Linked DNA regions of Drosophila melanogaster. The gene in region 1 interacts genetically with each later gene. Each region holds a gene or a part of one and is shown in the gene's direction. Other genes may lie near its edges.

The links. A genetic interaction does not mean that the proteins touch.
Region 2: of AIF (region 1) and Trx2, changing one suppresses a phenotype caused by changing the other (phenotypic suppression), as found in Drosophila melanogaster (one study listed by BioGRID).

The regions. Positions count from the first base shown.
Region 1 is NT_033779.5:2,150,045-2,155,651, forward strand, and holds AIF (apoptosis inducing factor), read left to right. Parts: upstream 1-1,709; 5' UTR 1,710-1,990; coding exon 1,991-2,102; intron 2,103-2,188; coding exon 2,189-2,421; intron 2,422-2,618; coding exon 2,619-2,900; intron 2,901-2,958; coding exon 2,959-3,061; intron 3,062-3,237; coding exon 3,238-3,487; intron 3,488-3,551; coding exon 3,552-4,366; intron 4,367-4,428; coding exon 4,429-4,853; 3' UTR 4,854-5,061; downstream 5,062-5,607. Other genes in the region: Tbcd (Tubulin-binding cofactor D), read left to right, coding at 1-217, 285-751, 804-1,409. UniProt on the Drosophila melanogaster protein: Probable NADH oxidoreductase. Mitochondrial effector of cell death that plays roles in developmentally regulated cell death and normal mitochondrial function.
Region 2 is NT_033779.5:9,611,496-9,616,924, forward strand, and holds Trx2 (thioredoxin 2), read left to right. Parts: upstream 1-1,670; 5' UTR 1,671-1,880; intron 1,881-1,918; exon of another isoform or gene 1,919-1,937; 5' UTR 1,938-2,021; coding exon 2,022-2,045; intron 2,046-3,806; coding exon 3,807-3,953; intron 3,954-4,036; coding exon 4,037-4,186; 3' UTR 4,187-4,909; downstream 4,910-5,429. Other genes in the region: gcm2, read left to right, coding at 1-7, 67-1,040. UniProt on the Drosophila melanogaster protein: Participates in various redox reactions through the reversible oxidation of its active center dithiol to a disulfide and catalyzes dithiol-disulfide exchange reactions. As a reducing substrate of peroxiredoxin 1, thioredoxin 2 is preferred over thioredoxin 1.

The DNA.
Region 1 (5,607 bases):
GCTCTGGGTGTGCTCCCATCCTTTATGATCCGCTGTCATCTGCAGGCTATATTGGACAGTCTGGTGAAGCACTCCCTAACTCCACTGCAAGCAGTTCTGGTGGGTGAAATGGGTGACCGCGAGAACATCCAGGCATACAGGTGGAGCGAGGCACGGACACAGAGCGTGCTGGCCTTGACCAAGTTGGTGAAGACCGTGGGATATGGAGGGGGAATTGGTGAGTCAATGATCTTAGTTGTGGGCTAAGAATGTGAACAAATCTTAGTATACAATTATTTTTTCAGACTCATTTGCTGAGCCGAAAAACTTTAACAAGGTTATCGAATGCCTGTTAAGAGCTCTTCAAGAGTACACCCTGGACAACCGTGGTGACATCGGAGCGTGGGTGAGGGAGGCGGCTATGTCATCGCTATACGAAATCGTCACTACGTGTCCGCCTGATCTCCTCGCCCCAGAGCAAGTGCATGAGATTGTCGTGGGCTTTATGCAACAGGCGGTGGAGAAGATCGATCGCACTCGTGGATTAGGTGGTCGCCTTTGCTGCCAACTGATCCATCATCAGCCGAGGATCCCCTACATACGGGAGCACTCAAAACTCTTGGAAATATTTCCCGCGGATGCGGATTCCGTACTTTGGTTATTTGCCGATCACACATTCCCGCTGTTCTGCGAGCTGCTCTCTCTGCCGGATTACTCTAAAAGAGTTCTTTTGGGTCTGAGTGCCAGCATTGGTCAACTGACTGAATCTCTTGTAAGTTGTATAGACCACCTCTATATCAATCTCTAAAATATTCTTCCTGCAGATCAAGTATGCCTCCAGTGCCTTATTCCACTTCTTGCGTTCCAATCCTGAGACTGTTCCGCGTCTCTGCTCCGAGGTGGTCCAGATTTTCGAGGAGCATCTACTAAACGAGCGCGTGACCTATCCTCTGCTCAGTTTCCTGGATATACTCATTGGCTCCGGAACTGTAGAATCGGTTCTACACGATGAAGCAAATCCCTTTGCAGAGGATATCTTTAGGCTGCTCAACCTGGAGGTTAAGGGCTACAAGAAGCTGTACAAGACTGCGACCAGCATCAGTGCTTTTTGCCAGTTGCTCCAGGTTCCTCGCCTGTCTAAACGCATCCTCTCCAAGCTCTCAGTATTTCTTGGACTGCAGCACGTCCACGTTCGCAAAACCGCTGCCACAAAATTGTACGAAGCGTTGGCTCTGCACGGCGATGTCACCGAAGTGCCCGAGGAGAATATGGATGAGATCCTAACACTGCTCTCCGAAACGGACTGGACCCAGCCGCTGGTGGAGGTGCGTCCGCTGCGGAACCAGTTGTGCCAACTAATGGACATCAAGCCTCCCGTAAGTGGAGCAGCTGCTGCAGCCGCTTTGCAGCAAGCGAGTGCTGATAAATGAATGTTCCCACATGTATTTAATATATATTAATGCACAATTGTACTGACAACATACATAAGTGGTATTCATAAGAATTTTTATTCTTTATTTTGGAAGCACATCTTTATTTTAACATGTTTTTTAATATTTATCGTTTTCAAAACAAAGAGCTTGTAAGTTCGATTTTAAAATTTCACTTGCTCAAAATAAATTAAATATTGTTCAACATTTCAAAAACCAACGAACACTTTTTGATAAAAAGTGGCTATTTTCAAGCCAAATAATTTCGAATAGGCGCTGGGCCATTTCCCATTTCATTGCGACGGTCACACTGCGACAGAGACAGAAAAAAACAAGACAGGCGAGGGAATGAAAAATAAATATAAATTAAACGCGGACTACCCAAAAGCAAGGAGGGATAAAGGAGTCGAGATCAATTAAACACCGCCGGACTTCACACGGAGAAATTTGTCATAGAAATTGGTTTTTTTGTAAATAAAACACGAACTCGCAAAACACACGTTTCTTTCGCCGCACAACGTTGTTACGTTACACAATTGTGGATTGTGGTGTCACCTACTCCGCAGCCAGTGCAAATCACGATGAGTATTTGGGGGGTCCGATGTCTGACGCAGAGGTTCATCCGGCAGGCGTACATCCTGGCCAACAGAAGGCTATTGGGTCCAGTGCCGCAGCGCTCGCCGCCGGCATACGGTAAGTGAGGTTATGGCCGGCTGGCCAAACCGATCCGTGTTTTCATGTTTTTGCCGATAACTAACTAGCATTCACGTCGATTTCAGCTCCTCTTCGGCCAGCCCACAGCAGCCTCTATCAAATGGTAAAGAAACGCACCCTTGAGGCGCGCACCAAATTGCAAGCCAACAAATATCCAAATCATCAAGTCTGCGTCACCAAGCCCTCGACCACGCCCCCCGTTGAAGAGTACGAGACGGCGGTGGAGGGAGCCGGCGTTCCCGCCTACGCCAATGCCCAGTTTCAAGCCCATTCCCAATCGGAGCCACTCTTTAAAGTGGTACCCATCGTTCATACCATTCACCATCCATTTGCATTAGCTGGATAAGTTGGGGATGCAAACTAACTTCCTACAAGCCTTGTGAAATTGATAACTAGCGAAAACATAGCTGGGTTATTAAACAGAAACCAGTTTGCATCCCCATCAAAGACTTGCAGAGTTATTAACAAATATTAAACAATATAATCAATTTCCAGGGCTTTGCTGACGTCAAGTCCGTCTGCAGTGCTAAGGATGTGTTAAAGTCGGACAGTGCAAAGCTCAGCACCAGCCAACCCGTCCTGGATTCCTGCAAAGCGACTAGTCCCTGCGAGGAATTCAAGCGCAAACGAAAGGAGACCACCTGCCAGCCCTGCGACGAGGATGGTACTGCTCCCGGTGGCGGTGATGGTGGAGACGAGGAGTGCGAGTGTCGGATGAAGGACCTACGGCTTAAGTGCCTCTTGGGTGCCCTGGCTGCCTTGTTAGCCGGAGGATTTGTATGTTTCGATCTGATATCTAAAGGAAATATTCTCTAATTACTTTGCTATCATATAGCTCGCTTGGTTTATGACGCGGGATACGGATGACAGTGAAGCCAAAAAAGCCGAGGCGGAGGAGGAGGAACGAAAACGTAGATTAGTTGCTGGACTAGCCACGAGTAAGTAAAGCGAAAACCATAGATTTTTGAATTGGTAGGCTAGATTAAACCACATTTGCCAACTGATTCAGATAAGCATTATCTTATACATACCTCAAAATCATCATGATTGGATAATAATTACAACAATTTTCAAGATAGGCCGAGGTAACTTATCACTTTCTCTCTATGCGCAGGTCCGCCCAGTTCTGAGGACCTTCCCAAGCATGTGCCGTACCTGATTATCGGCGGCGGAACCGCTGCCTTCTCTGCTTTCCGAGCCATCAAGTCTAACGATGCAACAGCCAAGGTTTTAATGATTAGCAACGAGTTCCGCAAACCCTACATGCGCCCCCCACTGTCCAAGGAACTGTGGTATACGCCCAATCCTAACGAGGATCCCATCAAGGACTATCGATTCAAACAATGGACGGGATCCGAGAGAAGGTAGGTCTGAATAACTTTTTTTATATAATTGAAACCCATTAAGTTATTCCCTTCCTGTTCACAGCTTGTTCTTTGAGCCGGATGAGTTTTTCATTGACCCCGAGGATCTGGATGATAATGCAAATGGAGGGATTGCCGTCGCTCAAGGTTTCTCTGTGAAGAAGGTGGACGCTCAAAAACGCATAGTGACGTTGAACGACGGTTACGAGATAAGCTACGACGAATGCCTAATTGCCACCGGCTGTGCCCCCAAGAACCTGCCCATGCTGCGTGATGCTCCGCCCAGCGTGCTCGAAAAAGTAATGGTCTATCGCACACCCGATGACTTTGATCGCCTCCGCAAATTGGCGGCGGAAAAGCGTTCAATCACAATTGTTGGCAATGGATTTATCGGCAGTGAACTGGCCTGCTCCCTGGCACACTATTCCAGAGAGAACAATGGCGGTAAAGTGTACCAGGTGTTCCAGGAAAATGCCAACATGTCAAAGGTCCTTCCAAACTACTTGAGTCGCTGGACGACGGCAAAGATGGAAGCCCAGGGTGTCTGCGTCATCCCCAACGCCAGCATTCGCTCGGCAGTTCGCGATGAAACCAATCTAAAGTTGGAGTTAAACAATGGAATGACTTTGATGTCGGACGTGGTGGTGGTCTGCGTGGGTTGCACGCCAAACACGGATCTCGCGGGACCCAGCAGGCTAGAGGTGGACAGAAGTCTCGGCGGTTTTGTGGTTAATGCAGAGCTGGAGGCCAGGCGGAACCTGTACGTGGCCGGTGATGCTTCCTGCTTCTTCGATCCTCTGCTGGGCAGGCGACGGGTGGAGCACCATGATCACTCGGTGGTCTCTGGTCGGCTGGCCGGCGAGAACATGACGGGAGCAAGTAAGTTACTGGGCTTAAAGTTAATAACCGATCGATCATAATGTTCGCCGTACCTTTTGCAGAGAAACCTTATCAACATCAGAGCATGTTTTGGTCCGATCTAGGTCCAGAGATCGGATACGAGGGTATTGGCTTGGTGGATTCCTCGCTACCCACCGTTGGTGTGTTCGCCCTGCCCTCGGAATCCGCCACGCGCGTTGACCAACTGTCTGAGTCTAGTGATTCCGACGTGCCGGAGACCAGTACGAGTTCCAGCCAGTCGTCAAAATCTGATGCCGGGGCTAGCCAAGATGGCGTTACCTGTGATCCCGATGAGGCGGGCAACTATGGCAAGGGTGTAATATTCTACTTGAAGAACGACAAGATCGTCGGCATCCTGCTGTGGAACCTCTTCAATCGGATAGGCTTAGCTAGGACAATAATCAATCAGAATAAGAAGTACGATGACCTCAATGAGGTGGCCAAACTGTTCGAGATTCACGCGTAGAGAACAGCGAGTCCCGAGGGACCATGGAGAAGATCTGGCTACCCTGATATGCTTATCAGCACGCACCGAACAGAACCTATCCAACCCGAATGCCTTTAACTGTGTTTACTGTGTACATTTGCAACTGCAACTAGATACGAACGGCAATGACGCAATGCAACAGAAATTTTAGTTTTATTATTTTTGGAATAAACCTTATTTTGTAGTCAACGACATTGATTCGGTTATGTAGCAGCAAAGTGCATATCTCCGTGTAAATATTGAAAAGTCGTAGACAAGCGGGTCTCTGTTGAATTGTGTGTAACTTTCGTAATAAACCAAGCACCAGAAAGTTGTTGACAAAAAATTCACCGTACCAACTAAACTGTTCAAATTATTCATTTTCGGTGTTGAAAAATCCGCTTTTTGATCCTGAGGCACCCGTTATTTAACTAATCCTAAGAGATTTTGCTTTGATTCTTATTTAAATAAATCGTAGGAACTTTGGAACTTATTTTTTTTACTTCAATCATATAACCCATTTGTTTATTGTCCGAGTTGTCTCACAACGGCACAGAATTTAAATGTACATATTTTTTTGGAATTTTCCCAGAATTTGACTAAACCATCTGCCTTATAAAAGACGAGCACCTGGTTTAGGGTTTTAGGCTGGATTAGCTGAATATAGCGAGGATCAATAAAATTCGCGAAATATTATTTTCGCTGAAGTAGGATCCTACCTGACTTCTTGTGCCAAAGGTGGTTACTTATTAGG
Region 2 (5,429 bases), 7.5 Mb from region 1:
TATAATGGTAGGTATATAAAACAAGAATATTTAAAGATTTCTTTTACAATTTGTATCCCCCATTAGCCTGTGGCAAGTGCGCCGGTTATAGCCACTGCACTTGCAGCTACCTGGATGACAGCACCACGGCGAGGAGCCATCAGTTGTCACAATCCTCGAATTACGGCACCAATTCTTGGCCACTAAGTGGATCCGAGTCATCGGCACCCTGCGAGACGGCAGCTAATGTGTTTACGGTCAACCACCAGCACATCACCTATAACTATCCCATCTACCATGCAACTCCAGCGGCGGCCACCGCGGCACCTAGTAAATCTCCCAGTTTGCCCTACGCCTGCAGCATTTCGGAACTGGCCGCATACCAGCAATCCTCCAGCGGGAACAGCTTTGCGATGGGTGTTCCCGTGCACGGACACACACAATGCCAGGCAGTAGCCTATGATTCCAGCCCGCAACTGGCCACTCCGGAACCGGAGTTCATCAACTACTCGCAGATCAAGCATTTGGGTGGTGGCGGTGGTCAGGAGGAGATCAGCTGCAAGGCCGAACCGGGACCCACCATTAAGTACAATGCCACCGTGGAGACGCAGCCGTATGTGGAGGACAACTACGATTACTACTATAGCCCCAAGGCGGAGTACGAAATGCAACAGCACCACCACCAGCAGCAGCAGAGCCACCAACAGTTCGGTGGAAATCAGACAGCGGGACATCACTACTACGAGAGCAGTAGTGGCTATAATGGAGTCAGCTATTTCGACACAGGAACTACTACGGCACCAGGAAATACTGCAACCGGAAATGGCCTGGAAGTCGGATACGGCGGCTACTACGATCACTACACCAGCTACGAGCAACAAATGGCGGTAGCAGGTGGATTTGCCACTGCCGGAGGATCCACTGCGCCGACAGTGGCCGCGCCCCCTGGCCATCCACCGCCTCCACCACCACCGCCCACGCTGACGTACCACCATCACCATCACCACCACTTGCACCACCCAGCAGCAGCTACAGGCCTAGCCCCATCGGTCACCCATTGAATAGTACTTAACCAATCCGGACACCGGAGGATTACTCATAGTCGATAGCTAAGCATAGTAACATAGTGTTTAAAATAGTGGTGAAATCTTAATTTCCATCTGTACGTGTAGTGTTAAACGGTTTACCAATTGTTTTTCTCGGCAAATAAATTATGAAAAGTGTTGATTTGTAAAAGTAAATGTATTTAATTTAAGTGCGTAAATATAATTTCTTATTGCGCGACCAATTCAAACATAGCTAATTTTCAGCGGTCATGATGGTGCGGTTCTTGAAATCAGAGATAGATGTCGCGCTGTAAAAAAATTGTTGGTAAGAACCATGTAAAATGTAATGGTAAAAACCATGTAATGTAGACAAGCAGGTGCTCACTTAACCATAACTGTAGTAATTTTAGGACGCATTTAATGATTTGTAGTTTAAAATCGATAGATAGTAAGATATACTTTAATACGAATGATGTTTTATAATTGGCGGAAACATTTAAAGAAAAACAAATTGGCTGCCAAGACCCAAATTTTGTACCGCTTACATGGCTTGCAGTTTTTTTTTAAAAAGCCTCCTACCGGTAAGAAACTGAACTACTGCAGAGTTGCTTTACGATAAACTCACAATGACACACAGACACAGACACACAGACATAACCAGACTAAAGAGAATAGTACTACAAGTTATAATCGCTATCTTCAGCAAGAGGATTTCACATTTAAAGTAATCGCATAGTGGCCAGCAAAACCTATCGCATAGATGTGCCAATCGGTCTATCCATTCGAAATTCACCTTCACCAAACGCGACATACACATATGCAAAAAGAGAGCGTATAGCAATGAGAAGCGTGAGCGTGAGTAAAAAATCTATAAAAGCAACTGCGACGTGCTCATTTTGGTAAAAAATTTAGCTGTGCTGCAAAGAGCTGCCCGAGTGGTAATTAAGTAACTTTTGTACATTTCTACCGGTTCCGTCTCCACATCTCCCATCCAACATGGTGTACCAGGTGAAAGATAAGGTGAGTCACTTCAACCGGATCTATGGACGCATCACATCCGTCATCTATTGGGTAACTCGATAGCGCTACCCTTTGACCCCTCAGTTCCAGTTACACGTTTATTTTTTCGCTCCGGACTTTGAAAATATGGCATTGGAAGCGGCATTCCAATTAGCCACTTACTTTGAATGATTGGATTCGCTACGCTTTTTGCCATACGCTCTCCCGCGAATAGAAGGAACTCACGTTCGGTCTAGACGAGCGAGAAAGCGGAGAGCAAACGAGAAAGTTCCGAATAGCAGCACAGCGAAATGATAATGATATCATCCCGTGGACCGCAAAACGGGTCTCAACGGAAACCGAATTTTGAAATTGAAATATTCCGGACCGAGCTAATCGGAAATAGTGCGAACAAGATATACGTACTATAGAAACCACATATGTACGGATGTGTGTGCGACTGGCATGAATTTGCAATTCATTATCGTGGTCGAGGCCTGGTTTTTTGGTTAGAAATATTTCGAATAGTTGCTATAGCACAGGGTGTGCTCTCCACACATAAGTTGCGCGCCATGCAAGTTGATCCAAAGCCAAGAAAACAAAAGACGCGAGTGCGCGGGGTGAAGAACCGGTTCCATTTCATGAATACAAAGTTACGTCAGGAAATATTGGGAAGTAAATACGTGAAAGCATGCCTTCTTATTTTATTTCTCAATATTAGTTTATTTATATTTGTATACACACTTAAACACTATCAAACATTGACTCTCGCGGTCTAGTTCTATACAGCAAACCACACAACAATAAGCTCAAAAATCAAAAAATGCTTATCGAAGGCATAAGGAATCCACGAAAACATCAAAACATTTATGCATACTGAATTAGACAATATAACAAAGTAGTTTAACTACTGATTTTAGTTTTTTATGTTTACTCAGATATTGTCTTAAAAAATGAGTCAGCAATACATGTTGACAAATTGAATTGTAGCCAACAGTCATCGAGTACCATCACCATCTTGAGATTAATCATTCCATGACGTATGTGTCTGCAATAGAAATGATCTAAGCCTGATTAAAATATGTAATAGGGATGATCAAGTGGTTTTGTGCTAGCAAAAATAGCGTGTATAAAGTTAAATTTCTTGGGCATATACTTATGCAAATTCCTCCAAACCGGTTGCCCATTCCAATTGAAATCGTCAATTTCATTAGAGCTCTGTGCTTGCATGTGCTGTTCTGCGATTGGCATCGCTAGCAATTAATTAAAGGTCATTGGGAAAACGTGTCACGGGCAGAGAAATGGGTGGAAGAAAGGGGATGGAACTGCCCACGACCGCCACACCTTTCGGCATACATACATATAATTTGGAAATTCTTTAAATATTGATTTGCTTTGCTGCCCAATGGGTGCAATACAGAAACTGAAATGAAATTGACCCGATTTCACAAGTTTATGAAGCACACACACATATTTAACCCGTCAATCGGCGATTATTGGGGCTGATTACAGCTTGGCAACTTTGGGGATGTCTGACAACGTTGTGTTTGCAGGGAACAGGCTTATCGGGCGAGATAGTAGCGGGGCCTCCCCAACGCAATATGTATATTTACAATAGCACCGGATCAATGCTCCACAATCGGAAATCATAAAGTTTGAAAACATGACCACCACCTGCTAAAGGGAAAATTACTGAAACATCTCTAGGGAGTGGGAAATTATTAGCGCTAATGTATGATGATATTACTCAGAGATAGTACTAATTTACATTTTCATTTGCAGGCCGATCTCGATGGACAGCTGACCAAGGCATCCGGCAAGCTGGTGGTGCTGGATTTCTTCGCCACTTGGTGCGGACCCTGCAAGATGATCTCGCCCAAACTGGTTGAGCTTTCCACGCAGTTCGCCGACAACGTCGTCGTCCTGAAGGTAAATCTAAAAATGTGCTCAGCTTTATTTTATTTGCTTAACACTTTTTATGGAAATCCTTACTAAATGCCCTTCTCCTACAGGTCGATGTGGACGAATGCGAAGACATTGCAATGGAATACAACATCTCCAGCATGCCCACCTTCGTGTTCCTCAAGAACGGCGTCAAGGTCGAAGAGTTCGCCGGAGCCAACGCCAAGCGTCTGGAGGATGTCATCAAGGCCAATATCTAAGTGGGCAGCGCATAGACGTCTGGCCGTCCCCCTGATCCACCTATGAGTTTTCTTCATAACATTTAGTTAATTAATTAATTCCATAAGTGCAGGGTTTTGCTCCATTCCGCCTGCTCCGCCTTGTCCTTGAATCCCTTAGAGCTGCAGTGCAGTTCGCAAGGTGAAGGTCAGCAGTGGCAGCAGTTGGAACAGCAACAAACGTGAGAAACTAAGTGGCTTTTAAACGTAAAATTTGCTTTGTTAACAAAATCAATAAATCACACAAAGATTGTTCATTTTTGTATGAAAAACATTAGAAAACGCAGTTGTAGCCAGTTGTCCAAGAGAATACGCTAAACAATAAATGTATTACACACTCGCCGTTTGTAACCGATTAAATTGTTTTGCAAAATTCTGAAGGGGAACCTGGGGTGAGGTCGGATCTAGGAATGACACATAAAGTTGTGAAATGAAAGCCAAGTCAAATATCAGTAGCCAACAAGCAGACAAATGTCGTTACGGTTAAGTAATAACGATTAAAACCGGGTAACTACCGATTAGATAAGATACGGCAACAAATTTGTATACTCCAAAGGCATATCAAGTGCGTGATCAAAATGGCCATTTCATAATTAAAATCCACCAGATTAAAGCTAATTTTAAAATTTCCATTTTGAGAAGGCTCTTTTTATCTGTCAAAAAATATATTTTTACATATGTATATTGACAACGAAATTCAAAAACAAATTATATATTTCCTTGAATCCGTGATTGAACTATAGAATATCACTAGGCATTATTAAAAAATTTAATAAATAAATGAACTTATTTGAAAATGAAAATAAGGTAAAAGGTACCTTTCTTGCGATCAATAATATCAAAAGATTTAAATTTGTCCAAATTATGTTTGACAGCATATCGAAAGTTGCCAAGTTGATTCTTGCCATAAAGTTAAAGAACGAAAGTAAATGGGAGACAATATAAAAACAAAGTGATTAATTAAGAAACTATTTTTAATTAATTCAACATTTATTTTAAACATTTGAAAATAAGCCGTTAGGCTTGGACGAACAATCGATACTTGGCTTAGTGGGGACAAAAACCGAATGCAACACTGCGCCAGCTGTGTTGGTGGTGGGAGCGAAAATTGCCCGATTTTTCAGTAGTGTTTTTTTTTCAGTAGTGTCAGACTCTCGGTGACAACAACACGTCGGGAAATTGCATCGCTGTGGAAAACAATAAAATAGAGCGTGAGAGTGAGAGA